Linked DNA regions of Drosophila melanogaster. The protein of the gene in region 1 purifies or fractionates together with the protein of each later gene. This does not show direct contact. Each region holds a gene or a part of one and is shown in the gene's direction. Other genes may lie near its edges.

The links.
Region 2: the proteins of Cap-D2 (region 1) and Cap-H2 purify together in Drosophila melanogaster (affinity purification with western blotting, with the first as the bait; one study listed by BioGRID). This does not show direct contact.
Region 3: the proteins of Cap-D2 (region 1) and barr purify together in Drosophila melanogaster (affinity purification with western blotting; 5 studies listed by BioGRID, with this or other methods). This does not show direct contact.
Region 4: the proteins of Cap-D2 (region 1) and glu purify together in Drosophila melanogaster (affinity purification with western blotting, with the first as the bait; 2 studies listed by BioGRID). This does not show direct contact.

The regions. Positions count from the first base shown.
Region 1 is NT_033777.3:29,673,295-29,681,197, forward strand, and holds Cap-D2 (CAP-D2 condensin subunit), read left to right. Parts: upstream 1-2,356; 5' UTR 2,357-2,435; coding exon 2,436-2,562; intron 2,563-2,639; coding exon 2,640-3,111; intron 3,112-3,171; coding exon 3,172-4,067; intron 4,068-4,127; coding exon 4,128-4,269; intron 4,270-4,324; coding exon 4,325-4,412; intron 4,413-4,466; coding exon 4,467-6,884; 3' UTR 6,885-6,963; downstream 6,964-7,903. Other genes in the region: ppk19 (pickpocket 19), read left to right, coding at 46-198, 260-389, 439-628, 686-929; Bub3, read right to left, coding at 981-1,769, 1,823-2,014; CG7582 (uncharacterized protein), read right to left, coding at 7,197-7,770, 7,833-7,903.
Region 2 is NT_033777.3:10,759,311-10,767,906, forward strand, and holds Cap-H2 (chromosome associated protein H2), read left to right. Parts: upstream 1-1,999; 5' UTR 2,000-2,272; coding exon 2,273-2,306; exon of another isoform or gene 2,307-2,533; coding exon 2,534-2,715; intron 2,716-2,936; coding exon 2,937-3,139; intron 3,140-3,718; coding exon 3,719-4,641; intron 4,642-4,800; coding exon 4,801-5,063; intron 5,064-5,132; coding exon 5,133-5,268; intron 5,269-5,325; coding exon 5,326-5,888; intron 5,889-5,939; coding exon 5,940-6,134; intron 6,135-6,203; coding exon 6,204-6,587; 3' UTR 6,588-6,717; coding exon of another isoform or gene 6,718-6,818; 3' UTR 6,819-7,158; coding exon of another isoform or gene 7,159-7,185; 3' UTR 7,186-7,446; downstream 7,447-8,596. Other genes in the region: MED7 (mediator complex subunit 7), read right to left, coding at 900-1,232, 1,294-1,623; transcription factor TFIIFbeta, read right to left, coding at 7,491-7,787, 7,853-8,389.
Region 3 is NT_033779.5:20,056,863-20,063,349, reverse strand, and holds barr (barren), read left to right. Parts: upstream 1-1,979; 5' UTR 1,980-2,164; intron 2,165-2,333; 5' UTR 2,334-2,626; coding exon 2,627-2,938; intron 2,939-2,997; coding exon 2,998-4,548; intron 4,549-4,620; coding exon 4,621-4,965; 3' UTR 4,966-5,187; downstream 5,188-6,487. Other genes in the region: lok (loki), read right to left, coding at 179-616, 697-805, 1,045-1,202, 1,287-1,473.
Region 4 is NT_033779.5:16,732,978-16,740,940, reverse strand, and holds glu (gluon), read left to right. Parts: upstream 1-2,552; 5' UTR 2,553-2,663; coding exon 2,664-3,799; intron 3,800-3,860; coding exon 3,861-4,485; intron 4,486-4,546; coding exon 4,547-4,860; intron 4,861-4,921; coding exon 4,922-6,605; intron 6,606-6,673; coding exon 6,674-7,144; 3' UTR 7,145-7,324; downstream 7,325-7,963. Other genes in the region: ChLD3 (chitin and LDLR binding deacetylase 3), read right to left, coding at 1-369, 1,747-1,945; Nubp1 (NUBP iron-sulfur cluster assembly factor 1), read right to left, coding at 7,374-7,963.

The DNA.
Region 1 (7,903 bases):
ACAGTTTGCTCATATTTTGTTTAATTTTATTTTTTGGTTACTAAGCTCATGATTAAGGAACCACGCCAGTGGTCCAATGAAATGATGTACCACCTGTACCCGGATACGGAGAACTTTGTTGCTGTGCATCCGCTGGTCACGGAAACCTCTCCAAATACCTATGAAATGAGTCCCAAAAAAAGACGTTGCTACTTTGATGTGTGTATAGCTTGCAACTAATAGGAAAAGATAATCATAATAATAATTCCTTACTCCATAGGATGAAAAGAACCCTACCTTCCAGAACACTTCGTTGACTTATAACCGCGAAAACTGCCTGGTGGTGTGCCTCCACTTAGTTGTGTGGAAGACCTGCCAGTGCTCGCTGCCAGCTTTTCTGCCTCCCATTGGTAATTATCGTAATTATTCTATTACATTTTAAATTTTTTTTTTTTTTAGATGGAGTTCCGGAATGTGGAATCAACGATGCACAATGCTTGGGCAACAATTCCGATATATTCACTTACGTGAAGATGGGTGATCAGGAGAAATACATTAACGACTCACGACAGGGTCACTTTTGTGATTGCCCAGACAATTGCAATTCACGGCTGTACGAAATGTCACTTAATGTGCGCAAATTGGATTAGTAAGTTCAATGTATATATTCTTAAAGAACAGATAATTAAATTCCCCTCTCTTTTAGCCCAAAAAACTCGACAGATCAATTGATAAAAGCCCAGGTTTATTATGGCCAACGTGTCATGACCAAAATCATTACGAAACTCAAGTACACCAATATAGATTTACTGGCCAACTTTGGCGGGATCATAAGTCTGTATATAGGGGCCTCCGTCATGAGTTTTATAGAGCTTTTATTTGTGCTGGGAAAACTGATGTGGGGTTTCATCAGAGATGCGCGCATAAAATTGAAAGAGTATACTAAGTAGCTTACTTTAAAAAATGATGTAAAACTTTGCCGTAAACAAGTATATATAACATTATTTCTGTTTAGTTTCCTGGTCCGTGGGATAGCGTATATAGATAGCCGGATGTGGCACTGTAGCCGGCGTCTCTGGCAGTTGGTCCAAGTAGGAGCAGCCGATGGCCAGGGCGCTGCCATCGGAGCTGAAGTTGAGCGTGGATATGGAGGTATCGTATTCGTGGAACTGACAAAGGCGCTTCTTGTTGAAGCCATCCCAAATGTTCACAATGCCATCGGATCCGCCAGTGGCGAACGTCTGATAGACATTGTGGAAACTCAAGGCATTAACGGGGTAGATCTGTTCGATATTCTGCTCCCTATTCCGGTGGCACTTGAAAGCGAACTTGCGGCGCTGCACCTCAGGATCGTGATCCAGGTACTCCACTGCCACCCGTCCCTCGATGGAGGACATCACGTAGCCTTCTTTGTTGGGGAATAGACGAATGCAGCGGGTCTGGTACTTGAGCGAGGACTCCCGCTTCATGATGTAGCTGTCCATCTTGCGAAGGTCCCAGATGAGCACCTTGCGGTCGGAGGTGGCCACCACGATCTTTTCGTCGATCACGGACATGGAGTACACCTTTCCGTTGTTCTGTTCGAAGGTTCCAACGCAGCGCTTCTCCCGCATGTCCCACAGCTTCACGGTATTGTCCCAGCTACCCGTGAGGATGCCATTGACATACTCGGCGTGCTCCACGCATCTGATGGGCTCCTCGTGGGCACCAATTATGCTTTCCGCCTGGGTGTTGACATCAAAGAGACGCAGCTGGTTGTCCAGGGAGCCACTGACCACGTGCACTATGTCCTGCGGATCGTTGGTTGAATAGGGGATTGTTAATGTGTACGAAGGAGTCTCACCATGAAGGCACAGTCGAGAAGAGGGGCATCCTGCACGAATTTCTGACGCAGCTGGTTTGCCGGCACATCATAGAATCTAAGTGTTCCGTCCCAAGAAGACGCCGCCATGTATTGATTCGATTTGGGGCCGAATTTCACAGCGGAGATCAGGTCCTCCGGCGGATTGTTAAGCTTGAACTCTGGGGGACGCATTTTGTCAAGTTTTCTGCTAGCAACTTGTGGATAATAAAACAATAAATTCAAACAGAAACTGCTTAAAACAAATCAAACTCCGAATTTGCACGGCGTCTGGAGAAGAGATGCGAGTATTTCGATATCACTATCGATACATTGCATATTTGCATCAAGGGGACTCCCTAAACAGGTACACTTTTAATAATGTAAAAAATTTTACAAACCCCTGTTAAACCAATATAAATTTAGTTTTTGTGGTAAGTATCTATCTGATAAATACACCCTCTCATTATGAGCATTGTAAGCTTGCAGTCAGCAGTAACCGATAACCGATATCAAGCGATCGATTTGGCGGCGAATCTGCCCATCTCTATAAGCGACGCCACTCAATTCAGAAGATACAATTATTATTTCGCGGTAAATAGGAGTAATAACCGCCATGGAGGAATCGCACGACTTCCAGTTCGTCCTTCCCCTGAATGCATCTGATCTGATCAACTCCAGCGGAGATCAGTATTACGTGAAGGAGATTTTTGGCGCCCAGGAGATTCCCGCGAAACTACAAGGTAAGTTTCCGTTTTCGCGGTTGGTTTTTAAATTGAGTACAGTTTTCGGACGCGCAATCTTCATGTTTCCTTCCCAGAATGCAAGCGCAAAGTGCACTTGGGCGATCCTTTTTATATATTCGAGCACTTCGACTTGTATTACTCGATCATCGAGGCCCGCGGTTCAGATGGCGCCTCTGCACAGAATCTAATGAGGTCCTTTGACCTGCTCTACCTGACCGTGGAGAAACTGTTCCAAGACTTGCAGCCCCTGCTGACGGCCAGTGAGCCCATGTCTAACCAGCAGCGCAATAGTTACCTCAACCTGACCAAAATGACGCTGTTCCTCCAGGTGAGCACCGTCAAGAAGATCAACAACAGTGTCCAGCAGGCCATGCGGGATCAGCAGCTCAATGTTCAGAAGAAGCGTGCCAAGCCATCGGAGGGATTGGAGCAGTTTCCCAACTGGGAGGTTAAGCGCGGCAAGTTCTTGGTGCAGCTCTTCAACGTGCTGCAGTGCCCGCTGGAGAAGCTCTGGAGTCCGCCCGTAGCCGAGGAGGACTTTATAAAGTAAGAGCAAAGCATTTAGCATCCTATTTCTTCGATCTGCAATGTATCCATCTTCCCCAGTTTGCTCTGCGACCCCTGCTATCGAACAATCGAACTTTTGCCGCTTCGCATGGACAACAAACACGTATTCGACACGATCTTCCAGATCTTGGGCACATCGATCAAGCGCTTTAACCAGGCCATGACCTTCCCGGTGCGCATTCTGCAGATCCTACGCGGTACCGAGCATGCAGCCCATTCAGTAGCAGCTGGAATTTTGCTTCTGCACGAGGAGTACGGAATTTCTTCGGTCTTCTCCATTCTAATCAAGAGCATTGTGGATGCTCTAAGGATGGACAGTTCTGACTCTTCGGTGTCCAAACACTTCTCCAATTTCCTGGCCGAGTTCTCGAACATAGCACCTTCGCTGATCGTACCGCACCTGGAAAAGCTGGCGGAAGATTTACTAGATTGTCAGTCTCACACGCTGCGAAATTGTGTGCTCCAGATCATCGGCGACACCGTGGTTAGCGAACTGACCTCGGAGGATCTTAGCGAAGAACTGAAGGAAGTACGCAATGAGTTCCTCGAGCACCTAATGGCCCACATCCTAGACATTTCTGCACACGTGCGCTCCAAGGTGCTCAGTATCTGGCATCACCTGAAAACCCAGCACGCCATTCCGCTTAACTTCCTGACCAGAGTGCTGGAGGAAGCCATCGGAAGGTTGGAAGACAAGAGCTCGCTGGTGCGGCGTGCCGCCATGCATCTGATCAAATCCGCCCTGGAAAGCAATCCATACAGCAGTAAGCTTTCCATAGATGAACTCCGTGCCAAGCATGAACACGAGGTGCAGGCAATGGAGAAACTTAATGAGGTACTCGAGGAAGAGCGCAAGCAGGAGGAGAAGCTCAACGACGAGTTTAGCAGCTTGGCGCCCGAACTGCTGCCTTTCATAGAGGAGAACCTTACGGAGTGTGAGTTCATGCAGTTCCGCTAGTTCGACGTATATATTAAAGTTTATTGTTATATTACAGTTCCCGATATGCAGTTCGACAAGGAGGAGAGCGACGAGACCTTGATGGAGCGGATCATTCCGCTGATGCGCGAAAAGAACTACAAGGATGTTATTGTTCTAGTGCGAAAGGTAGACTTTTTGGCGGGAAATCAGAATATGAGGTATGTTGCTAATCAAAGATGGTTTTGTTTTACCATAAATATATTTACTTTCCAGTTCCTTACTGAAGCACGAGGAGCATTGCGTGTATGTGCTGGCCTTGCTAAAGACATATCACCTGCTGGCTGCTGGATTTAAACAGAGCGTATGTTTAATCTTAGAAAGTTATATTCCCTTCTAACCAAATCTTTTAATTTAGAGCGAGGAAATGCTGCAGCAAATCAAAACGGTGCAGTTCCTAAAAGACAGCATTGACTTTGCCGTCTTGATGACTTCAGCCTTCCCCAAACTGCACGAGATGCTCATGTCCAAGACAAACACGGATGTTTTTGAGGCGGTGGACTTGTTCACCACCGGGTACATGTTCGGAATTCACGGCACGGAGTCGGGAATGCAGAGAATGCTGCAACTGGTCTGGTCTTCGGACAAGGAGAAACGAGATGCAGTGTCGGATGCCTACAAGCGCGTTCTGTTCTCCACGGACCAAACGGGTCGCGCTCATGCCATTAAGGTGGTGCAGAACCTGTCGAAGTTTCTTTCGGAAATCGAGTATGGTCACTACACGGCCTTGGAGTCGCTGATGACCGAGTGGGTGTTGGGTGGCGACATCGATGCTGCTGTCATCCAGGTGCTCTTTGAGCGCTTCACGCTAAAACTGGAGGGCACTACATCCAACGAATCTCGCCTGTCGCTCCAGCTCCTGATAATGGCCTCGCAATCGAAGTCTAGTATTGTTTCGGCCAACACTGCCATCATCGAGGATATCGCCGTCGGAGAGCGGGTGCGTCGGGATCCACGGATATTTACCTCCTGTCTGCAGCTGCTGGTCAACTCAATCGATGCAAACAACACTGCCAAGTATTATAAGCGTCAGAACAGCGATGCAGAATTCGTGGGAAAGATCACGCGGCTCTTCCTCGACTTCTTTTTCCACAGAAGTCTATACGACTTCGACGCACTGGCCATGAGTGTTTTTGAATACTTCTATAGGATGTGCCAGGCGCCGGATGTGATTGCGCAGCAACTGGTGACGGCTTTACTCAAGCAATTCAATGAGAGCTGGCTGGTCAAGGAAGCGGCTGCAATAGTTCCCTCTCCAGACAAAGCGGATACGGAAACTGTTCCGGACTCGCAGCCCTTGGAGATTCCGCATTCGCAGACCCTTACTCCCACTCAGACTCAAGCTGATAGCCAATCGCAGATGCAAGGCACCTTGATTCCCGTGTATCTCGTCTCCCGCTTAATCTTTTGCATCGGCTACATGACCATCAAGGAGATGATCTTTCTCGACATGGATATCTATAATAACATGAAGTATCGCGACGAGCTGACGGCTCTTGAAGAGCGTAAAAACCGCAATCAGCAGGCGGGAAGTTCACATAATGCGGCCAGACTTACGCTTAATATGTCAGCGATGGAGGTGCGCAAGAGGCTGTCCGGAGTGGCAGCGGAACCACAGCAGGAGCCAGACGACGATCTGGTGGGAGCGACTGCAGAGGACAACATCGCCGAGGAAATCCACGGCATCTGCGAGGACATGCTGCTTTACAACCCGGATGCTCTGCTCTCCAAGCTGGCGCCATTTATCATAGAGATTTGCAAGCGTCCAGGTGAGTTTGGTGATCCCACGTTGCAACAGGCCGCTACTTTGGCTCTGGCCCGGCTCATGACCGTCTCCTCCCGTTTCTGCGAGTCCAACATGAGCTTTTTGATGAACATCCTCAACCTAACGAAGAACATTCGAATCAAGTGCAACACGGTGGTGGGGCTGTCGGATCTCACTTTCCGTTTCCCAAACATCATCGAGCCGTGGACGGGGCACTTCTACGCTCAGCTGCACGAATCGAACACCGAGTTAAGGCTAACTGCCGTCAAAATGCTATCTCATCTGATCCTCAACGAGATGATACGCGTCAAGGGTCAAATCGCCGACATGGCACTTTGCATTGTGGACGGCAACGAGGAGATTCGCAATATCACCAAGCAGTTCTTCAAGGAGATAGCCAACAAGTCGAACATTCTGTACAACGTCCTGCCAGATATCATCTCCCGTTTGGGGGACATAAACCTCAACCTGGATGAGGACAAGTACCGCATTATCATGTCCTATATCCTGGGTCTCATCCAGAAGGATCGCCAGATTGAGACGCTAGTGGAGAAGCTGTGTCTGCGCTTCCCGGTAACGCGGGTGGAGCGTCAATGGCGCGACATCGCCTACTGCCTCGGCCTGCTCACCTACAACGAGCGAGCTGTGAAGAAGCTAATGGACAATATGCAGCACTACAGGGACAAGGTCCAGGTGGACGAGGTTTATCAGTCCTTCAAGCTCATCATTAGCAACACCAACAAGTTGGCCAAGCCGGAGCTCAAAGCTGTAGTCACCGAGTTCGAGAACCGACTGAACGAGTGCCTGCAAGTCAACCCGGATACCGCTGCCCAGGGTGATCAAGAAAGCACTCCAGAAGGTCAGGGCAACAGAACCAGAGCGGCGCCAAGGACAAAGAAGGGTGGTCGCAAGCCGGCGGCCAACAGGAACAATACTGTGCGAGGACGCGGAAGACGTGCTCGCCGGGATTCCACCTCAGAAGAGAGCTTCAGTTCCAGCAGCAGCGACTAGTTCGTGCTCCATCTTAAGTTACGATCTGAGCGGGTTTTTAATGATGTACAAAGATGGTTTTTAATAAAATAGTTAATAGAACCTATTATTGATATATTTATTACTTTGAAGTCAACAAACATCTAGTAAACTACTAAGATCCGTTTCCACATCCATCAGAAAGGGAACAAATATTTGGTTGCACTAAGCTACTGGGATGGGGAAACCAACACACGTAAATGGCAATACTCTAGACGCTTTGGAAGTACTAAGTTTGGTGGTTGCGTTCATGTTGTCTCTGGGCCTCCGACAGATGAGCACTGGGCACTGGCTTCACTTAATTTTCTTGCGAAGGGAGCGCTGGAGGGCAGGACCGTCGTCCGCGGTGCTCAGCGCAATGGCAAACTGGGCGGCGTAGTAGGTGATCATGATCTGGAGGCGGGCGCAGGGCAGGGGCACGCCCACGAACATGGTGACCGCGATCAGGGCGTCGGAGATCACAAACAGAATGGCTCCGATGGCACAGAACACGGCGAGGAAGTTCCTGGAGTCCACGGCGCGGGCCAGCGATCTCCACAGCATTGTGGTGATCAGGAAACAGTAGATGGGCACTCCGATGATGAGAATCTCGTCCAGTTTCGTGTGCACGAAGTAAACAACTGGGGGTTTCAAATATTCCAGGTAAGGTATACGTATATAATGACCAGTAAACTTACAAAGCGATACGGCCACGTACAAGAGCAGTCCAATGAACCACTTTATGGGCTTCCAGCCAAAGGCGCTGATATAAAACACGTGCGCCACTCCAAAGGAGATCATTCCGAAGGGAAAGAGATTTATGTTGAGCAGAGCATCACCACCACTCGAGAAAACCAGACCCAATAGAATCCAAAGTGAGCGACGGTATCTGTTAAAAATTTCTTGTTAATAAGTAAGTAGTATATAGTATTTCGATGCTATAAAGCTTACTCCTTCTTGAGCGAGATTCCCTTGGCCACCACATAGAATACAAGCGCGAAAATGGGCAGGCATTTGAGCAC
Region 2 (8,596 bases), about 19 Mb from region 1:
AAGTTCAAAGTCAATGAGTTAAGGGTTTTCAAAATATTCCTATTCAACCGACTTGCACACTTGCAATGCTGCACGAGAAATGATCATCTAGAGCGCATGGCACCTCCTTTTATCGGAGATTACTTCAATAAAAGTGAAGATTCACTTAACTACATCTCTCTTATCGCGGGCTTTACAATCTAAGAAAGCTAATAAACGTATTAAACCATGTTTATTTAGAAAAACACGTTGGATTTTGTAAAGGGCACAGTGAGTTAAAAAAATTTTAGGGAAAACATTATACTCCAGTTGTGAATGAATATCTCTATTGACTTTTTAATCATGTTTATCAAACAAAATTAGTAATTTTGATGAAACTCCATACAAATTCATTAAAACCACATATGTATATGTACATTATGAAACGCACTGTACGAGCATATTTCGGCTAGCCACGATGATGCCATGCGGTAGCACCCATTAAAAGTAGGAAAACGTGTGAGGTGTTCATGTCTCATGTCATGTCACATGTCTTTACAATTTTTACAATTAAATATATACATTTATATTGTTATTCCTATCCTGAATAAATTGTTCTAGATAGATTATTAATTTATGACATTTGACTATATTATTACTCCACGCTGACTACGTCATTTTAATGGTGAAATTTGTGGGATGCTTAATCATGAGCCTTTATCTCGGATCTTATCTGTGTAAAGCTTATCTCAAAGATGACTTAACACATTAATTCCCATTGAATGAATTACTCATTAGACGTGCAAGATTCTCATCCCACAATTGGGGTTTTATTTCTTATACTAAAAGGAGTTATAAATATGAGGAGCTCTTTTTTCCAAGCCATTCACAATGATTGACACTATTTCCAGCGTCGATGTCCAGTCTTTTGCCAACTCAGCTTACTCGATAGCGTCCACAAGCTTGCACAACATGCGATCGTGCTGGTAACTGGGATCATTCTTGGCCGCCGCATTCGCCTCCAACGGATCCACCTCCGTCTTAATCTTTGCTCCGCCGCTATCGTCGTCATCATCTAGAACCGGCAGAGCTGAGAAGGCGGTATTAACGATCTCGCGCACACGTTCCAAGTGCTTTTGGAAACGGGCGGCGGTCTCAACGCGCTGCCGCTTCTGCATTTCCATCATGACGCGCAGCGTTTCCCTCGCCTGATGTGGGCGAAATTCATTGAGGAGGTGATGCATGTTGACGAACAGCAGACTGATATCGTCAATCTAAGATATCAAATGAGTGTAATACAATAGATGCTACATTTTAATGGGTCAATTGACTCACCTTTTCCGTGCGCCGCGGGCTGTCAGGATTCAGGATAAGAAAGTCAATGAGATCTAGGAAGTTGACCAAGAGGGAGTGGTTAAGCTTCTTGAGCTCCTTGCGCCGATCGAAATGGATGGGGATCAGTCGCTTAATATTCTGGGACTCCAAGCTGCGGATCATCTCGTCGTTGTTGTACTGGATGCCAAACATGCTATAGACTTCGTGCTGCGCCGGCGGCGGCGGTGGGCGTGGCGCTCGGTTGCGGCGGATATTCTCGTCCGTGTAATTGGCGATGTACCGCTCCGGCGGCATCGGCAGGCTGGAAACCTGGGTCTCCTGGTTGGACATTATGAGATTAACAAGTGCGGAAATACAAAAATAATAAATGATTTTTGTTTTGAAGAAGTGATGGCACCTGAGACAGGCGAATCACTCACGATAGTGATGACACTATCACTCAAATTGTTTTCTTAAAAATGAGCACACTAGAGGTTTGAAGCTAGACAATGCAATAATAAGCAGAATTTATTATAATATGTTTTGAGACACTGACAAATAATTTACAATTACAAAAATTAAATTAGATATTAATCGAGCTCGAAATAATAAATGATTCACCGTGCCTAGCTATCGATAACTTAAAGGTGACCATGCTTGCATGCACCCCCTACAGCATTGCCATAGCAATTTTTCTCCGTCTCTTCCCTCATTCGTCGGTAGAGCACAACAAAATAAGAAACACATATATATCTTGATGTGAATAGCTAATTGTTCCAGCACCGATTCGCGCCAATATTCCTGTTCCTGCCAAAGAAATGAAAACAAAACGTAAAACCATAACATAACTGGACCCAACTAAGAGACAAGCCGTGCTGCCTCCACCATTTTGATTTCCCCACTCAGCGTGTGTGCGTGCTTGCAGTGCTTGTGCACGATGCCAGTAAAATGTGCAAAACCGGACATAAAACAAACTTTTCCTAGTGTCATCTAGTGAGCCATGGAGCGGATTTTGCCTGAAGAAGCGGAAGCGGGTAAGCATCCAGAACTTAGGTAACCAACGCAGGACAGCCCCAGGCGTGATCTTCGTTTCCCATTGATTAAGTCAGCGCTATTTCCAGTATACCGCGTGTGTTGGTGCTTCTATGCGAGTGTGTGTGTGTGTGTATGGGGAGGGCCGAAATAAACAATAAAGCGGATCTGCGATTGGGTGTGTGGTTTTTGCTTAAGTAAATCCAATCGGTTTCTATTTAATTCACAGCCTACTTGAGCGAAGCGCGGGAGCAGATATTGGAAATAGCCAAGAATCGGCCGGGAACCCAAGTGGCCAAGTGCATCCGCGCCTACGATGAGCAACAGGACCTGGCCTCGCTAGTCGTCCTCCTCGAAGAGCTCTCCAAAAACACGGACTACTCCACGGACCTACGGATATCACTGGGATATGTGAGTGTTGAAGACCACTATTATCAAGATAAGCAAAACCGCCGAAGAGCAGAAAGATCAAAATAAAAGTGTGACGCAACGTGCGTGGGTTTTACAGTCATGCCTCGATAACTGGTATTTTAACTAAAATTATATAAATGGGTTTTCAAGAAAATCTATTATTTTATTTACAGTGAACACAAAAGCCTGCAGATCCTCAAATACATTGCTTATATTTTCAGTATATTGAAGAGCTACTGCGCCACTGCTTAGGACGAAATGATGTCTCTCGAAGATCGGCCATCGTGGCCGCAGGAAGTGCCCTCCAGTACTGCGGCAAGATCTATGGAGACCGAGTGGAGTACCTGTGCCAGGTGGTGGAGCACCAGATCGAAGCCCTGCTCACATCGGAGTTGCAGAAGGAGACCCCTAGCGGAAGTGCTGCGTAAGTTTAACTCAGAACTGAAGAGTTAAGAAGATGGAGAAAGACAAGGCCACGTGCTCCCCACTTGTCGCCATTGCTGGCTCTTTTCGGTCCAGAATTCCGCTTATCGAGCTTCACTTTACGCCCCCTTCGGCTTTGTTTGCATTAATATCACAGAAGCCGGCTTGCCGTTAATGGACGATAGGGCACGTTCTCGTGCTTCCAAAAACAAATAACAAACAGAGTATATAAAGAAATGAGAAATTAACCAGACAAGTGAAGCTAAAAACGTAGACAGTTCATTCATAAAAATAACAAGTTATTCAGAGATAGATCACATCCTAAATAAATATTTTTACATTATAATTCACTTAAATTCTTTCTTATCAGCCGGCATTAAAGAATTTGGGGAGATTATTTGACCTAAATGTTGAAAGTCTAATTAATTTTAAAGATAGCACCAGTATTTTGATTAAACATAAGATGATTTCATTATAATATTTAAGTTACATAATAATCAGTCCTTTAAAAAAAAGAAATCTTATCCTCTTTTAATCTGCATTTAGCGATATAATAATTGTTTTCCTTTCATATTTACAGACCGGAGAAAAACGAGCGCAGGCCTGAGGAAACGCGCAAACGTCACCCTAAAAAGCTAACTAACAAGGAAGTTGATCCCTATTTGCTCACGTTGGAACCGAAAAGGTTTAAAACCATGTCGGACGACAAGCGCTTCAACGCGGCGGGCTTTGTAAAGTGCACGAGAAATCGGACGATAGAATACCTTTATCAGGATCACACGCCGCCCAACCTGTGGAAACACGCGCCAATTGTGGATCCTCACAATCCCTACGACCAGGATGAGAAAAAGCAATACAAAATGTTTACGTATCACGTAGAGCATAGATACAATACGCTTCTGCCAGATATTCCCTTCGAAAGGCTGAATCTCATTAAAGAATATGTTCACACAAATCAGGTGAACACCACTGAGATTCTTAATGAGCACATGACCACAAAGGAATATCTGGACGAGTATATTGCGCTGGAGAATCAAATGCTAGCAGCCCGCTATGGAGCCATTGTCACAAGGAGAAGAAGATTGGTTGATTCCGCGAGATTTATGGAGGACAATTTGGATGAGGGACTGGCGAAAAAAATGTGCATGGACAAGAATCTGCCAATGGACACGAACGAAACTGTTCTTATTGACCAATCTTTGGTGGATGAAAACAGCAGGTCGTTAACCACAGCCGAGTCTACGATGGGCATCAGTCAGGCGGAGAACTCTACTTTAAAGAGTAGCGAAGTCGAGGCGACTTTAAGCGTCAGCCATATAGAAAACTCCTTAAGCGATAGCCAAGAAGAGAATCCTCCGCTGAGCAGCACATTAGCCATTAACGAGTCTAGTGTTCTCGACAGCACGAGAGTGGATCCCATAAAAGATCTCACTCTAGATGAACTGTTGCTAATCGATTCAGGGATCAGTATGGAAGAGCTTTCCGATATTCAAATGCATACAGGTAAAGCAATGGCAATCCAACGCTCGCCAAGCGTACTAAGGATAAGGGTTTTTTTAATCCTTTATTTTTTGATTTCAAATACTTACATATTTGTTTTTCTTTACTCTTTTATTTTGGCACTTGTCAAACACTTGCATCCCTGCATTGCATTTGTCACAGCAGGCCAGTCTTTTGATGATGAGGGTGTTGTTCTTTCAGATTTAGAAGATCAACGCCAGTTGTCGCCCATGTTGCAGATGGTTAGCCCATCGATGGAGGCAAAAACGCTCAATATCATTGAGATGGATGCTGATCTTATCATGAATGTTCCAAGGGAGGTGAGCTATCCTATTCTGCTGAATGTTATGGGTCTCCCCATAAAACGCCTGCGTCGGAAATGCATCTTTAAACTTCCACCTGAGTTCGACTTATTCAGGCAAGCAGTAAGTGTTTTCAGTAGTTACATCACTGTTGGAAAAAAATCTTGAACTGCATATGTGTTTTATTTTTAGCGCCTTCCTATTAAGCGAGAGGGACAACAAAAATCCCCAACCACTCCCAGAACTGTACTGCAAATTGGAAGAGAGGCTCCCCAAAATGAAAGAGAACCCGGCTCCCCCTGTAGTTTAGAATTTGATGAGGACTTGAGTAAGTTACTTTGCCACACTATGTCACGTCGCGAAACTATCTTACATATCTTACCAGATTTTCTGGGTTTCCGCCAACGTCGACCCACATTTGACTCGGGCTTCGATATCGAAGAGCCGCGTGTATCAAGTTGTGTCTCCACTATCGGAGAAGTTAAAACTGAGCTTGAAGATGAGATTGAAGCCAACACCAATAATTTAACTGACGCGAGCGCCAGCGACGCCTTGAATGAGAATGTGAACGATACAAAGGAAAGTGGGCTGGGAGATTCACTAGCGCAGGAATTAAACGCTTCCACCGAACCCAATGCGGAAAACAATACCGCAAATTCATCGCAACTTGAAGTGACTGCTACAGAATCCTCCGGAACGCTAAGCGGACTGGAAACCACAGTGGATTTAGGAATGGAGAGCGCGTTAGTTAGTTCTGTATTGGATTTAAGTACCGAACCGAGTGCAATGGATAGTAACATTATAAATGTCACCCAACCTGACAATTCAGACCTAGAGATTTCAACCGTGCAGGACCAAGATACCTTACATGACGAAGCAGATGCAAATGATTTGTCTGCTGAAACACCCAATCCAATTGCCGACTCAGCAGTCGACGACTGCTCATTGGTAAATATTGGATATAAAATTATAAAAAAAATACTAACGTTGTCCATTTAGATCCGGGACTGGCATAGACGATTGGCTCCTGCTTTGGAAGCAGCCCATGAACGGCAGAATTTCAATATTAAGGACTTGGGCACCGAGATCCTGGACATTTGCAAGGCGGGCAACAGAACAGCCACGTTAGCCGACGTCATGGCTGACAAGGATCCTAGTATCATGTGTCGCTACATGCTGGCTTCCCTGGTACTGGTAAGTTAATGCGTTCAATCAAAATGCTGTCCTTCGATAAGCAATCATTTTTACACTCCTCATTTGCAGACGAACCACGGAAACGTGTCTCTGGATTTTGAAAATCGCGATAAAAGTAAGCCCATCGACATGTCTCAGTTTCGAATGCATTTAAAGAGTATGAAGCGAATGGAAATTAATCCCGAGGACGACGTGGGCAACATAAATGCTGCCCAGAGCAAATCGACGCCGAGAAGTAAACAGCTAAATGATTCAGCTCACAAGCCACGAACAAGCACGACGGCATCTGCACCAACAAAACGAAAGTCTGCGGAAAATTCTTTATCCGAGGTGTTTGCTAAAACTGTGCGATTGATACAGCCCATCCCAAAGATGTGGCCTACTCCTTCTGATGCCGACTCGGGGATATCTTCGATGGGCTCATCATTGGCATCGACAGCCCGCCTGAAGTAGTAGCCGTGTTTCGTCTTAAATGTGCTTAGTAGTTCTTTGTAGATAAGATTCCTTGCGTCCTGACCCAGTAGTAGAGTCTAGTTTGTGTGCCCCCTTATTCGAATTCAATTTTTATGTATATTATTTTCAGGCCGAGAGATCAATGCGCTTTCCCATGCGGTACAACAAGATCAAGAGGCTGCATTAGATATATGTTCTTGCCAGATTATTTACCCGCAATCGTGTACAAATGTAAGTTTTAGTTACGTATTATTAGGAAGCTTGCAATAGAAAGAATGCTTTAGCTTAAGCTTATCGATGTATGAATCAATATTTCTTTAGAGTAGTAAACCAGTATTATCTAAGCTCGATTTTCCTAAGCATGAAGCCGTTTTTTAGTTTTTCTTTCACTTCACTTTTTTAACTTTTTACGACGCTTTTAGTTGCTTATGAAATTTTCACATTTTTATTAATTTCTATTTCTTTTGAACATTTTTGATTTATTTTACTTTACCTACGAATAGATTTATTTCGTATTCTTATTATTTCTATGATTTCCTAAAAATTTAACACTATACCTCCTTTGATTTAGAACAAAAATAGACAAATGACTTTTTGATTGACGAAGCGCGTGTTTTGGAAATCCTCATGAGCTGATAGTACTAAATTCAAGTACCTGATCTCGTCTGTACAAAAGTATAAACATAAGAACTCTTCGGACATAAGACAAAGTTCAAGATAAATTAAGGATAAAGTGTATATATACGTATGTATTTACCAGAGTGCAAGCTAGTGTCTATTTACAATCATTTTAAGATATAATGTTTTTTTCGTAAGTATAACGTGTAGTTCTTAAGGAATAAAACGGAACCATGCAATTACTTAATGTGTTTTAATGAAAGTAAGTCGGCGATTCTCCCAATGCTACTCCGAGTCGCTGCTGCCTGACTTGTGCTCCTCCTCTTTCTTCTCTTCAGTCTTGTAGTGGCGATATTCTTTCTTGAGCTCCCACATGTTCTTGTGCGGGTTCTTCATATTGTAATCGCAGACATCCTTGAGAATCTCCTTCAGGTAGCTAATCGGCTGGTTGGTGATCTTGACCAGATCCTTGATGTTATAGTATTGATGCTTCTCGAATGCGTGGAAGAGCATATCCATCACGGCATTCTTGTCGTCGCGCGCCTTCTTGCCCTCGGCCTTCTTTCGCTCCCGATATTCAATCTGCAGGAATGGAGGAGTTATATATACATATATATTACCAAAACAGAGTGTATTATTGTTCTCACGTTGTGTGCGTGGTCTTTTACAGGCTTAAAGTTCTGCACGATTTTGTCGATAGGCTGCACACGTCGCTGTGGTTCCGATGCCTTGCGTATGGACTCCAGCTTTAGTTTCATGTAGCAGTTGTCGGCGATGGGTCGGCACTCTAGCTTTTGCACAATCCTGCCCTCCATATACAACTTTTCGTTATCCGGCTGTGCCGCCGAGGTAGTCGAGTTCTCCTTGCCATCGGACGGTGCCATGTGCGAGAATACGCCGAGCGTCTGCTTGGTGACCTGCGACACGTCCAGGATGTGCTCGGTGGGTATTTTCTCCTCGGGATCTAGAGCCAAAACGGCGGGCGTGAGGGAAAGCGAGACCTGGGCCTTTTGGCCAGGTGTCTTGTTTATCCGGAGCTTGCCCACGTCCATGTTCGTCGGCGCCTTCTCCCATTTCTGGGCAATGTACTTGGGCACCTTCACCAGCCATACGCCTCGCCCAGCATTGGACAGGTCCAGGTCCTTGTCGATGATCTGTGTCTTTTCCTTATCCTCCTTCGACATTCTGTTTGCTTTAAATTATTAAAAACGAATTTGCAAAGCCACTTGTACCGTTTTCGGCTTTGCTTGTTGTTGTTGTTTTGCCGTAAATTTAGTGCGGTCGAATAAACAGTTTCGAAAAAATGCTAGTTTAGTATATCACGGTATTTTTCTTTCGGTATTTATTCGTTATGTTATTATTAGGCGCCAAGTTTGAAAAAGTCCGAAGTG
Region 3 (6,487 bases), on another chromosome or scaffold:
AATTCGATTGATGTGTTCGCAGTAGTCGTACTAGCAAATTCGTAAAGGCGCAGGAATGATTTGCAATTAAGGGCGTTTTCAATGACCATTCCGAAGACTTACTTATTTGCATAACAGAAATGAACGGCTTGCTTAATCAGCAACACATTCGAACCCAAATAAAACTAATTTGTTTTACCCCGATCGTGTAGGTACTTGACGGCATGGCACATTTGGTAAAAGTAAAGCTTCGAGATGTCCTCGCTAAGTAGTTTGTTGCTGATGATCCGGTTAAGCAGGTCGCCGCCGCGCATAAACTCCAGCACCATATACACAGAATCCGGCTTGTCCACGATGTCGTGCATGCGAACCACGCACGGATGTGAAAGATTCTTCATAATCTTGGCTTCGTTCAGCACCCGGTCGGGATCACTGAAATTGGTACTGGGTCGCGCCCCAGAGAGCATATTCTTCTTAACGATTTTCATCGCAAACTGCTGGCAGGTGCGGGTGTCATAGACCAAACGCACCAGTCCGTACGCTCCAGATCCCAGCTTGCGATTTACATAATACGTCTTGTTAATCTCCTCGGGAAGCCCGATCGACTCATTCGGGCTGAGATCCTTGAATACAAAGGCTACAAGGGAGGGCAGGTGCAAAACATCAAATTACTTGCGAGTCCTTGTCGATAGCTATACCTGCTTGTCGATCGCTTACCTTTGTACGTTGGGTGGGACAGGGAAATTACGTCGTCATTCTTTAGGATTCGCATCCTGTTTGTGCCAATTTTCTCGTTATTCACAAACGTCCCGTTGCGTGAGAGATCCTGCGAAATGGGCGGAAACAAGGTTACTACATTTTAATAATATACGGAATTATACGGAATAGTAACTTCTTTTTGTAAATTAATTGTGGGAAATATTCAATATTGAAGTTACCTTTTTTGATAATCTCAACAAAACATAAATAAAACTTAATTTGAATTCTGCTCTTGTGGGTTCTGAATTTGCTATCTTTTTTTTCAAGGCTTCCTTCAGAGCTTTTGGGTTTGGAACTTCCACCTACCTGAATATAAACTGGATTGGTAAGTTCGCAGTTTGCCCGCTTTATGATAAAATGCACTTTGGAAATGCGCGTCAGGATTTTCTCGGGCAAATCGTTGAGCGTGAGGATCAAGTCGTTGGCCTCCCCTCGTCCTGCGGTGAACTCGTCGTTGTTGAGATCTGCAAACAGTTCAGCATGGGATCGTCATTAATACATGAGGAGCACACGCAATGGGGACACAAAACAGGAGGAAATGTGGTTACCAACAGAAAAGGACGAATGCGTATAAATGATTCGGTATTTTGAACTCGTACCCAGCGATTTGATCTTAATGTTCTTGCCGTACAATCGACCCCAGACTATCTTCTCCATCGGCTGGCTCTCCACCTGCGTCCAGATATTGGAGGCCTGACTCTGGGTTCCCTGCGTTCCTTGTGTGTCGCGTGCCATAGTGATTCCAAAACTCCGAAACTCCGTAGCCCCGTAATCTCGTATTCCTGCTATTCCGCAAGTCGAACTGGAAAACCCGTTAGGTTTGCCTGGAACTGCGTAAATTCGAAATGTCCAGTTACTCCAGCACTACCACAGGCAGAAATGCACACATACACGAGGAGTCCGATCTTCGGAAAAGCTATAGATCTATAGAAGCTATGGGTTTGAATCTCTGAGCGTTTCTTCTGCCCAATTCGATTACATCGAGCTTTTCGCACAGCGCTGGCTGATAGTTATTTAGAGTTTATCAGACGAAAACAACGAAAACTAACAAAAATCACGACATTGGTTCGATGTGAACTGCGCGAGGGACTACAATTTCTGCGGCAGTGTGTGTAAAAGTTGCCGCCTTCCAGGGATGGGGTGATTATCAGCGCCAGTGTTGGCAAGAGTCCCAAGGAAAAATTAAGGGTTTTTACAAATTAAATATTGCTTAGGTTAAGACTTTATTGTCAAAAGAAAAAATACTAATTAACTACCGGACTGAAAATTATATAAAAAACTAAAAGTATTGAAACAGATTAATTCCTTTACAGATCGTAGTTTCTTTAATATGGTACATGTATTTGAAATTTAACGGCCATCCATTGTTGAAATCCATTCAGCACTGGCAGGACCTGTGCAGCCCTGAACTTAAAGAAATTCCATTGTAAGCTATCGTGTTTTTATTCGATTTCGAAGCTTTAAGGTGTAAATTAAGTTTGTTTATTTCATTTTTCTCATATGATAAAATTATGTATCATGTTTATACTAGTTAATTATATTCCGCAATACTTTATAGCTAATTCTTTAGCGATTTTCCTGTCCATATTATCTAGCTAGCTTGGCACACCTTTAGTTTTAACCAACACTGAAATGCAGCCCTAAATTGCGGCGTCGTTTGAAAGAAACTGTAAACTATTACCAATACCAGCGCAAAAACAGAAATAGACAAAATACAATCAACAAATCATCAAAAAACAAAAAATTCAAAACTGTCGAATTGGGATCACAGCTATTATTAAAAGTGAGTGTGCTTATTAACACTCTCCAAAACCATCAGCCTACGGCAACCAAAATTCCTTGTGCTGTTCTCTGACTTCATCTCTGATTTATCCACTTCCTTGAAAGGATGACTCTGCCCCGCTTAGAAACTCCGCTCAGGCGGTCCGCAGTAGGCAGTTACCAGGAGGGGGTGTCCCGCATGCTAACCCCCTTTAACGACGACGAGGCGGAAAGGCGGGAAGCCCGACGTCGCACGCTCCTTCAGCAGCATCACCGGTCGAGCACTCTGGAGTCCATCGAGGACAATGAGACCATCAAAAATTGCTTGGAGCTCTACAATGGCAACAAGGTGAGCAAGGACAACGCCTGGAACCTGATGCTCATCGATTCGTTGGCCAATTTGCTGGATCACCATCACAAGCGCATGAGCAACTTCAAGGTGGGTTTTGCCTCATTCAGTTTATGTAAATGTAATAATTTCATGATGTTATACCCTAGATGGCTGGTTCCTCTTTAGAAGCCTCTTCCAAGGTTTACGGCCTGCGTGTGGACTCCATCTACTTGGACGCCATGCGCATTTCAGCTGGCTTGAGTGCACGAACTCTTACGGATAAGCAAATAAATGCTGCCGAGGATGATGATGGCCCCCAAGGTGAACAGGCTACTGGCGAGGGTCAGGACTCAGCGCAACAGGCAGCAAAAGAAGCAGCACCGAAGCCCAAACGGCAAAAGAAACCCATATCCACCGTGACCAAAAACAGAGAAACGCTGAACAGCCGGCTGGATACGGCTCCCTTGCAGGATCCTGTGTTTGGCAAGCTGAACTCCACTGTGGGCTCTATAAATGCTTCCAATCGTCTGATGCACAACATTCTTCCTAGTTTCGACTCTGAATTGCGCTTGCGTACCACCTACAATTTTTGGAACAGCGAAGAGTCCACCGAGGAGGTCCAGGACCACACTACACTCAATGCAGAAATGGAACAATGGCCAGCCACATCACTTATGAGCACCAATCTTATGCGCAAACTGCTGCCACATGCTGAAAGGTCAAATCTGCGACCGCTGCATACGGGCTACATCATCACAAGTGCTCCCAATCCCAAGTCGGCAAATGAAAAGGCCGCCGAGGTAGTGCAGGATGAAGATCATGACGAGGGTCTGGATAATGCCGACGATATGTGTGTAAATGAGATTTCCATGGCCTTTGACATCAATGCCGAGTGTGAGCCCATGCCGGACCTGGATGGACCACCGCCTCTGGTGCTGGAGGTGGACTCCAATGAGCTGGAAGAGCTCACTGCCGAGGAGCAAATGGTGATCAATAATTGCCGTCGGCTACGTAAGCAGACAGAGTTCATCGAGGATTTGCGACCGGTAGACGGGAATTCCAAGCTAGAGTACTCCTACAGGCCGATGGACCAGATCTCCCAGTTTTGGGCCGGCCCCTCGCATTGGAAGTTTAAGCGGACTCGCCCGCGCAGCACTTTCTCGCAGACCAATGGACAGGTGGACACTCAGCCTATTCGCACTCAACGAGCGAAGAAGTCAGCGCATCTGAATGCCAACCGAAGAGCCAAGGCTTTGGACTATGGCAATGTGACGGAAAACTTCTTCCAACAGCTGGACACCACCATAAGGCAGCGCAAGGCGAATTTCCAAAAGAAGTGGGATCCCCGAAAGCTGATATTGCCCACCAAGTTCGAATTGGACCCGGATCTTTTCTTCAAGTACGAATCCGCTCCCAGCATAAAGTTGTCGAAACGCGCAGGTGAACCTGATTCGGATGAGGGTGGAGATCTTGGCATCGATATGGATGCGGATATGCACCACGATGATGACAATGACCAGGAGCTATTCAACAACGAGCATTTTACCGACGCCGTTCCCGCCAACGTGAGCGTTATTGCCGCGATTGCTGCGGAGCAAGCGGCCGAGGCAAGCATGATGAACGTGTCCGCGGGTGAGATTGGCCTCACCCAGATGAACGCCACTTGCAACAACACAGTCTTCGAGATCGGCACCGAGTTCGAGGGTGCGCCGTCGCAGGTGAGTCTTCACTATAAAATCATATATACATACCTGGTATTCTAAAAACCATATAAAATAATTTACTTGCAGGTTGCCAAAGTGATTGTTCCATTCGCGAAGAGAGCCAAGGTTATAGACATGAAGAATCTGAAAAAGTCCTGCAACTCTCTAATACAGAAACAATTGCTAAACGCTGTGCCGGAGGAGACGATACCCTCGCATCCCAAGAAAAAGGGCGAACACTATTCAAAGGGTTTCGCGAGTTTTCAGCAGGTGTATCAGAAGCTGCCCGACCTTTTGACCACCAAAATGTCAGACTCGCTGTCCCCGTCGGTGGCATTCTATGCGGTTCTGCATTTGGCCAACGATTTGAAACTGCGGCTAATTCCGCAGGAGGACTTGGAGGACTTTCAAATTCGCCAGGTGTTGGATTGAATTTCTTTAATTATTTTTCAATTCATAGTTCTAGTTGCCCTTAAATGCTGTTACAATTTATTTTCACGGCTACTCCTTAATCTCTTACCTCTATTTTTAACTCCCAATTCGTATCAGTATTCTGAAACAGATATCCTCACCCCAGTCGAATTTTATACACAAACGAAGCATTGTTCTGATTTAAACACTAGTTAGTAAACAATAAATTAGGAAATATCTAAGAAAATTTCGCTGTTTTAATGGGGTATAATAAACTGGTGAAATTTTCTCAATTGGTAAACACGTATTTATGGCAAAACGGCATCAAAAAAATCTGTAATTTAAACGCCGCAGAAAAGAATTAAAACTTTCGCATTAGTTTTGGCTGTTTATATTCTGCTGGCGGCTCAGACAGAAGGGAAAGTAGTTAACATTGTTTTTCGTTTCTGTTGCTCTTTCATTTGCATACTTGTGTTGGTGCACACTGACAGAAATGATTTCGAGAACAATTTTAATAAGAAACCTCGATTATTTTAATATTTTTAACATCTGCCGAGTAACAGGTATTTTAAAACCAAAAAATAAATAAAAAAATGGGTAAAAAATTGTTTAATTTATATGGTAAAATGTTGCTTGTTTACCACTGAAGAATTCGCGATTTGAAGCTTTTCCGGCGGATATAACTGTTTACAGTGTAGAATGGAGAAAAAAGGAATGGAAATCCTAAGGCGTTTTTAGTTGCAAGTGGTTTTTGTCGCCTCCTGAAGAGGATTTTCCTTCTGCATCTGTGTTTGTGGGGCACACATGTGTGTGTGTGTGTGTGTGTGTGTGTTGGCTGCTGGTGTGTTTGTGTTTGTTGGAAAACTTCGGTGTTTACAGAGCGCTTTTAGGCGCCGTTTGCGTGTGTGTGTAATTGCATATTATTTGCATAAATATTTGCGAAGTATACTAAGTAACGTTAACGTTGGCGTCTACCGATTACACTCTGTACATATGCGAGAAAAAAACAAAAACGAAAACATCAACAACCAGATCATTCGAAAACGTTTCGCAAAACTTTTGACATTAGCGAATGACACTGAACAAAGTTGTCAACTTAAAAGTTGATTCTAATCTGCATATGTTCAAATTGACGGTTACAAAAGGATAATTTCGATGAGATTTCCATGTTTGCCTTAAACTTAAACTATTTTTAAGTTTTTGGCTGAAAGTAATAAAACTAAACAAAAAATCTGTGAAATTTCTGGAAAATGTAGTGGGTTTTGCGCTTGTTATGTATGTTCTTATCGTTGTAACCAGGTTCCGTGAAAAAGTTTCCCCTGCTCATATGTTTTTCAGTTTTCAAGGGAAATCCAAACATTTCAAATTCCATTTCAGTAGCAGACACTGTTGTTGAATAATTCGAGAGCATGCATTTTGAATATAATGACTTTTGCACAGTGAAAATTAAACGTATTATGCTAACCCGTTAGCCGCCCACCAAAATTTTATCCCCGTAAAGTGCAATTTCGTGTTAAATTTTCAATGCCTGCATGAAATTAAC
Region 4 (7,963 bases), on another chromosome or scaffold:
AACCATCGCAGAAGTACTCCTGCGGCAGGCAGGTACCATCGGCGCAGCCCAACTGGTATTCATCCGCACAGTCGGCCATCTCCAGTAGTGGTTTTGGAGCCGGCGTCTCCGCGCTGACATCGCAATTGTCCACATTCGCCTTGAAGTCGCAGATCTGACGCACCACATCGAAGAGCAATCCCTCGGAGCACTTGAATTCGAACACCTCACCGTCGAGGCAGAGGAAATACTTGGCGCACTCGCTGTTCGTCCAGATCTTGTGGACCGGCCTGTTGGGGTTGCGGTAGAAGCGTGCATCTTGCATGCAACTGGCTGCGCCGGAGGTCGAGCGACGATGCCGAGTTTGGTTGCCGACTATTCCATCATTGTCTGCAAAGCAGGCACACAAAAAAAGAAACTGGGTGTGAGATAGCCGTGTGTAATTAACAAGGAGACTGATTACTGATTAATGCATTGACCCAAAAACGAAACCGCTCACGTCAGCCCAAAATTAGCCGCTTGCAGAAATATTTTTGCTTTTTTCCAGCTGGATACCAATCACGCACTGAAATGGGTGGTGCGCATAGTTGCCAATAGTAGTCAACTATTACGGAGCAAGACGACAAAAAACAAAAAAAAAACCCACGTCGCTACTTCAATTGAAACGAAAAGTTGGACAAACTTCAAGGAAATATATGTATATATGAATGTGTGTAGGCCACTTGCTCGCTTAGAAGTGCCTGAATTCCGAGGACCGTTGGACTTCGATGACCTTTTTGATTGGCTCGAGGCCTCAATTAACATTATATTAACCATAATGTGATCTTAGATGATCTTCCGCCGTGATTTAAACGTGATGGAAACAATAGTAAGACAACTAGTCACGAAGTACAGCTGGCACTAAACTAGCACTCAAAATTATGTTGACTTGCCATTTAAAAATATTTTTCCAATTTATATGCACTGGCAAACTTGGAAATGATTATGAATATTGAAAATATTGGATAAATATTGCTAGAATTGAGTGTAAACTATGGAGCACCTTTGAGATAAGTATAGTAAATTGTTGAACTTTTTCAAATCACTTGTGTAATAGGTCTTTCTGAAACTAACGCCAGCTCCACCCACTTGGAAATGCGTCCCAGCCATGTGCCACATTGCGGCGGACGGGTTGAAATGCGTTTGCATCATGGATCGGCAGCAATGGCCCGTAGCCGTGCCGCACCATATCGTAACTCAGGCGGTTGGGCAAGCGACGCGTGTTGGCCAAATGCAAGATGCGATCTCAAGATTGGAGATATGTGCATACATATGTGTGACTATAGTAGATAGACCGACTGACTGACAGTCCGTGTGTGTATATCTCCATCTCCATCTCGATCTCCATCTGAATCTCAATCTGCAGCTCTAGCTGAATGTCTAGCTGGGGCAGCTGGGCATTTGCAGCATTTAGAAAGTAAATTTATCATCTCCGCCGGCCAGAGAGGCCAAGGCAGCGGGTCAGGAAAATTTCAGCAACTGTCATGGGGTTCAATGCACACGCTCTTTTTAGTTTTTTTTTTTTTTTGTTTTGTTTTTTGGGGACGGGTGCGGGCATGTGGACAACCCGACTTGGCCCCACTTGGCTGGTCGTTTCGTGTTATATAACTCCTTCGATTCGATCGACAACTTTCACACCCAATGTGCGCATGCGCGCATGAGCATGCCAAAAACTAAATAAATTCAGTCGTACCCAATCGAAAAGCGAACAAAAGGGGAGAAAATTACCAATGACCAGGGCGTCCAGCGACGACGACATAATCATAAGCGCCACCATCATCCAGATGCACAAACTGGGTAAGCGGTGGGCGTTGGGAATTCGCGCTGTTGGTTGTGGCTTCGAGCGTCGCTGGGCGGAAGCGACGACCTTGACTGTGAAACCCGTTTGGCCATTTGCATTATAGGCATTTTCCCCCGGGCAGAGCATTTTTCAGCCTGCTTTCCACTTTGCCACTCGCGTTTGTGTTTGGCTGCTTGCTTTGAGCGCTTTAATCTTGCGCGCGATCGGAAAACCGAAGGAAAAACCGCCAGTGAAAATGGTTCCGCACCGAGCCAAAGTCGAGTTGTGACTAAAGTCGTGCGAGATGCAGCCAAGGCATTATATATATTTGGGCATTTCTCTGACTTGCGGATAGCGGAGAGAAAGCTCCGCGCAGTGGGTGTCTCGCTTATGTTTTTGGGGAGCGCAGAGCGCGCTGAGTTATTCATAATTTCCAAACTATTACACGGCTTTTTTGGAAATTAAGTAGTTTGCTTGCTTATTATGAAATTCATTTACTTTACGATGAAATAAATGTATTTCATTATTTTGCTAACTTCATCGAAAAAACTACTTAGTTGAGTTTTATTGTGATTTAATTAATAATATTTCATATTATATTTACAAATATCAGTTTCATATATGTTTTAGAATATTTGAAATTTGTTCTTAGCGTCGATGTAACGACTTTTAATTTAAATTCAAACTACAGAGCTGACAACTCGCCTGATTTATTTAACGGCCTTGCCAGTATTTTGCGGGCACATCAAGACGGTCACACTGCTGATAGCGTCCTATTACCATTGGCGCCCGAAAAAGCGATTTTGTAATTCGAGGATTTTTCCTGGATAAATCCACACGGAGAATTTACTGAGAATAGCGCACGATGCAGAAGGCGCGTCCCAGCAAGGGCACGCCCAAGGCAGCTGGCGGAGCCCGGCAGAGCGGCCAGTTTCGCGTACCGCAGCTAACTGCTCAGCAACAATTGCGGGCGCAGCAACAACAGGAGGAGGAGGACGCCGCCGTGGACGCGCTGGATGATGCACTGATCTTCGACGACGAGGAGGGCGGCACCCGGATCGGCGACATATACATACCGCCTCCGGTGCCGCCACATTGCTCCATGGAGAGCACCGGACCGCGCCTGATCATCTCGAAAATTGTAAATCGGAATTTCAAGAGCTATGCGGGCGAAGTGGAATTGGGTCCCTTCCACCAGAGCTTCACTGCCATCATTGGACCCAATGGCAGTGGCAAGAGCAACGTTATCGACTCCATGATGTTTGTGTTTGGTTGCCGCGCCAATCGCATCCGTTGCAAGCGTGTCTCCACCTTGATCCACTCCTCGTCTAGTTATCCCAATTTACGCAGCTGCTCGGTCGCCGTCCACTTCAAGCAGATCGTAGACAAGGGCGACGGCACATGCGAGGACGTGCCCGACTCCAGCATTGTTATCGAACGCACTGCCATGTCGGACAACTCTTCCTACTACCAGATCAACGACAAACGGGCGCAGCTCAAGGATGTGGCTAAGCTGCTTAAGAAGCATCATGTGGATCTGGAGCACAATCGCTTCCTCATTCTGCAGGGCGAAGTGGAGTCCATTGCCATGATGAAGCCAAAAGGGCAGACTGAAAATGAAACTGGAATGTTGGAATACCTGGAGGATATTGTCGGAACACAGCGCTACATTCGCCCACTGCAGCAGATAAACCAACGGGTAGATCAACTCACAGACGACCGAACAGAGAAGCACAACCGCTGCAAGCTGGCCGAGCGCGAGATGAAAGATCTGGAGCAACCGTTCAATGAGGCCGTCGACTATCTGAAGAAGGAGAATGAGCTGGTGCGCACCAAATCCTTCCACATCCAAAAGATCATCAGCATCAAAAAGAGCAAGCTGGAGCAGTACACCCAGGAGCATGAAGCCTGTGCGGAAGAGCTAAAAACCCACGACGAGGGCACTGCTGCCCTGAAACAATCACGAGCCGAAAAGGAAACAATCATCCGAAAGGAAATTGAGTAAGTACCTAGCTTCAACTTCAAACTGAGCTATATATTACATTACATTACGTAATTTCAGAGAATACGAAGCTCTAGTGAAAAAGCGCGAACAGATCAAGAAAAGACTTGTGACTGTTGAGAGTGCCTACACAGAGATCCAGAGCACAATGGAGAACACGAACAAGCAGCGCAAGAAGGACAAAGCCCAGATAGAAAAGAACGAAAAAGAGCTGGAGGATCTGCACAAGTTGCCGGAGAAAAATCAGCGCGAGATCGAGGATTGCAACAAGAAATTGGAGAGCCTGGAAGTAAGTAAGGTGACACTGAATGAGGAGCTTGAAAAGCAGCAGGCCGAGTTAACTAAAACCACTGCACCGCTTACCGAGAAGCGCCTTAAGCTCAGTGACGAACTGGTGGGCCTTAAGGAGAAGGTCAACACGGCTAAAGGAGAGGTTCAAGTGTTCGAGTCGCAGCTCAAGATCCTTAAACAGGCAGAGACCACTGAGTCTAGGAAATATGAAACCCTAAAAAGTTCGTACGAGCAGTCGCAGAAAAGTCTGGAGGAGAAAGTAACAAGGGTGGACGAGCTGAAAGAAAGCATTCCACGGATGAAGACCGAAATTGCCAGCAAGTCCGCGGAAGTGGACAAAATGGTTAAAGAGGAACGCAACCTATCCATGCAGTGCAACAAACTAAGAACAGAGGTATGGTTCATTTATTTACATTCTATACTGTTCTTCTATTTATAAATACCTTTTCCGGCAGATCAATGAAAGATCTAGCGTCATGCAGGCTCAGCGATCCAATAACAAGGTCCTAGACTTCCTCATGCGTATGAAGATGGAGGGAAAGATCCCTGGTATTCTAGGACGCCTGGGTGATTTGGGTGGCATAGATGCCAAGTACGACATTGCTATTTCGACTGCCTGCGGGCGGTTGGACAACATTGTTACGGACAACTATGAGACCGCATCGGCGGCCATTGGCGCTTTAAAGGAGTACAACGTGGGCAGAGCCACCTTTATTACGTTGGACAAGATTGAGCACCATCGTCGTGAGGCCAACTCCAGGATAAATACGTAAGTAATAGTAACAGAATGAATGGAAATGGTTATTAACACCATTCACGTACTATTGCAGACCAGAAAACGTTCCTCGTTTGTACGATCTGGTTAAGGTTGAAGATGACCGCGTACGAACCGCTTTCTATTTCGCCCTACGGAACACACTGGTATGTGACGATCTAGAACAGGGCACCCGCATCGCCTACGGCAGGGAACGCTACCGAGTTGTGACCTTACGTGGTGAGATGATCGAGATGACGGGAACCATGTCTGGTGGCGGCAGTCGTCCTATACGCGGAAAAATGGGCACCCAGGTGCGCACCAAGACGGCAGAATCGGCTGACAGTTCGCAAATATCTCAGAAGGCGTTAGAAGACATGCAGATTCAGGCGGAGGAGTTACAGGCCCGAGTCAATTATTGCCAGGAACAGCAGGGCAGTCTTGAGCGCGAGATTCAAACCCTGAAGAATGGCTTGCAGCGTGACGAGGCGGAGTACAAGCGGCTGGCGGTGAGCATCACTTCTTTGGAACAACAGATGGCCAGCAACCTGAAGCAATGCGAGGCGCAGCGGCAGCGAATGCTCAAGAAAACAACAGACGAAAGGGCAGTCAAGGAGCGGGAGGAGCAAATAGAAGCAGCGAAGCAAGAGCTGGAACAAGCACAATTCGCCGAACAGGCTGTCTCCAGCCAAATCGAAGAGATCCAGAACCAATACGATACCCTTAGAAATGAAAGTGTCAAGCCTGTGGAGGCCAAGATCAAGAAGGTAAATAGCCAGATAGAAAAGCTGGCCGCCAATGTGCGGTCCTTGAATGTGGGCTTGGCCACAGCAGATCGAAATATAACGAAAATCACTGGAAACAATAATAATCTCCGTGAGAATATAAAAGCTGCAGAAGAAAAATTGAAATCGTTGAATGAGGATCGAAATAAGGCTAAGGAAAAGAAGGAGGAGTTGGAAAAGGAAATAGAGGAATCGGAAGCGTCCATCGAGGGCGCCAAATCACAATCCTCCGATATAAAAAAAGAAATAGATGAGATCACCAAGGAGGAGAACAAACGAAATATCGAGCGCATTGAAATAGATACTAAGCTGCAAGCTGCAGCGGGAAAAATGAACAAGGTGAAGAATGACATTCCCGGATGGCAGGCTCAACTGGCGCCTTTGAAGCTCAACGAGATTCCAGGAGAGACTGAACCGCAAGCGCCACTCAAAGAACTCAACGAAGAAGAGCTGGAGGCAGAGACTCTGGAAGCCTTGCAATATAAGCAAACTATGCTGGAGGAAGATCTGAAAACAAAGAAGCCCAACTTGAGTTGCATAAAGGAGTTCAACGAGAAGCGCTTAGTCTACCTCGATCGCGTCCGTGTGCTGGAGGACATCACCTCCAAGCGCAATGAGATGCGCGACAAGTACGAAGAAGTTCGCAAGCGACGGTACAAGGAGTTCATGGATGGCTTTAGCATTATAACAAGAAAACTGAAGGAAATGTACCAGATGATCACACTGGGCGGCGATGCTGAGCTGGAGCTGGTGGACTCCATGGATCCGTTCACCGAGGGCGTAAATTTTACTGTGCGACCGCCAAAGAAAAGCTGGAAATACATCTCGAATCTCTCAGGTGGTGAGAAAACTCTCTCCTCATTGGCACTTGTGTTTGCCCTGCATTATTACAAGCCCTCTCCGCTGTACTTCATGGATGAAATTGATGCGGCGCTGGATTTCAAGAATGTGTCTATAGTGGGTCACTATATCAAGGTAAATACCTCTCTGCTTTCTTGCCTTACATTCACATTTTAAAGCCAATTGTTGTTGTGTTCACTTAGGAACGTACGAAAAACGCTCAGTTCATAATTGTTTCACTTCGTGTCAACATGTTTGAGCTGGCCAACTTCCTGGTGGGCATATACAAGGTCAGCGATTGTACGGACTCCATCACTATGCTGAACTATCCGCCTACGCTGCCCACTCAGTCGCCAGTGGTCGCTAACAGCCAGTACGTGGGTGGAACAATTGAGGGGGATAACACGATAGCTGCCGAGAACCAAGACGATACCCCCACGAAGAAGAGCCAATCGCCGCCGTCAGAGCAAATAGTCCGCTTGATTAGTGAGTTGGGGAGGGATACCACATTTGCGCCGCCCTTGGAAAGTACGGTGAGGGACACAATACTCGCGCAAAATCTGAAACAGGCCGCCACTGAGGTTGCTGCTCAACCGTCAGATGCCACGGGAAGAGTAACCACGGATGTGTCCCTAGCAAGCCCGCCATCTTCCCCAGCCATACTTAATGTTTAACTCCAACCTACTTCAATATTGTAGAATGTTTTCTTATCCTGTAAAGGGGCATGTTGTAAACTGCCTGGTAATCTAATTTCTGGTAAAGACCGAGACGTAATTTGATGACCTCAGGTGAATCGGTATTTCCAATTGGTATTATCCTTTCAATGCTTAATAATAAATGTTACATAAAATTGTACAGGCATCTTTTTTTTTATTTAAAAACTGAGTGGTCTTTAACTTATTCTTAACTAAAGCTGGCCATAATCTTTGAGCAAATTCCTTCCAGCGCCTCAGTGGTGACATTCTTAAACTCAGTTAAATCCTCGCCAGAATCGCAGGCTTTGGATATCTGTTGATCCAGAGGCAGGGAGCCCAACAGCGGGATTCCCATTTCGGCGCACATGGCAGCGGCTCCTCCGGTTTTGGCTGGAAAGATTTCGGAGCTATTTCCACAATGGCCGCAACGGAAACTGCTCATATTCTCGATCACGCCCACAATGGGGATATTTTGCTTTTTACAAAAGTTGATCTCCTTGCGCACGTCCAGCAGAGACACCTCCTGTGGAGTGGTCACCATCACGGCGCGCAGGGACTCCGGGTTGGCGTCGTCTTTCAGGTACGAAACCACAGACAGGTGCTCATCGGAAGTTCCAGGTGGTGTGTCCAGTAGCAGGAGATCCAGATTTCCCCAGTCCACCTCGCTCAGAAACTGCCTGATCATGCCATTCTTCTTGGGTCCTCGCCAAATAATGGCATCGTCCACAGAGCCCAGAAGAAATCCGATGGACATCAGACACACGTTGTCTTCGATTCCCACAGGTGACCAGCCGTACC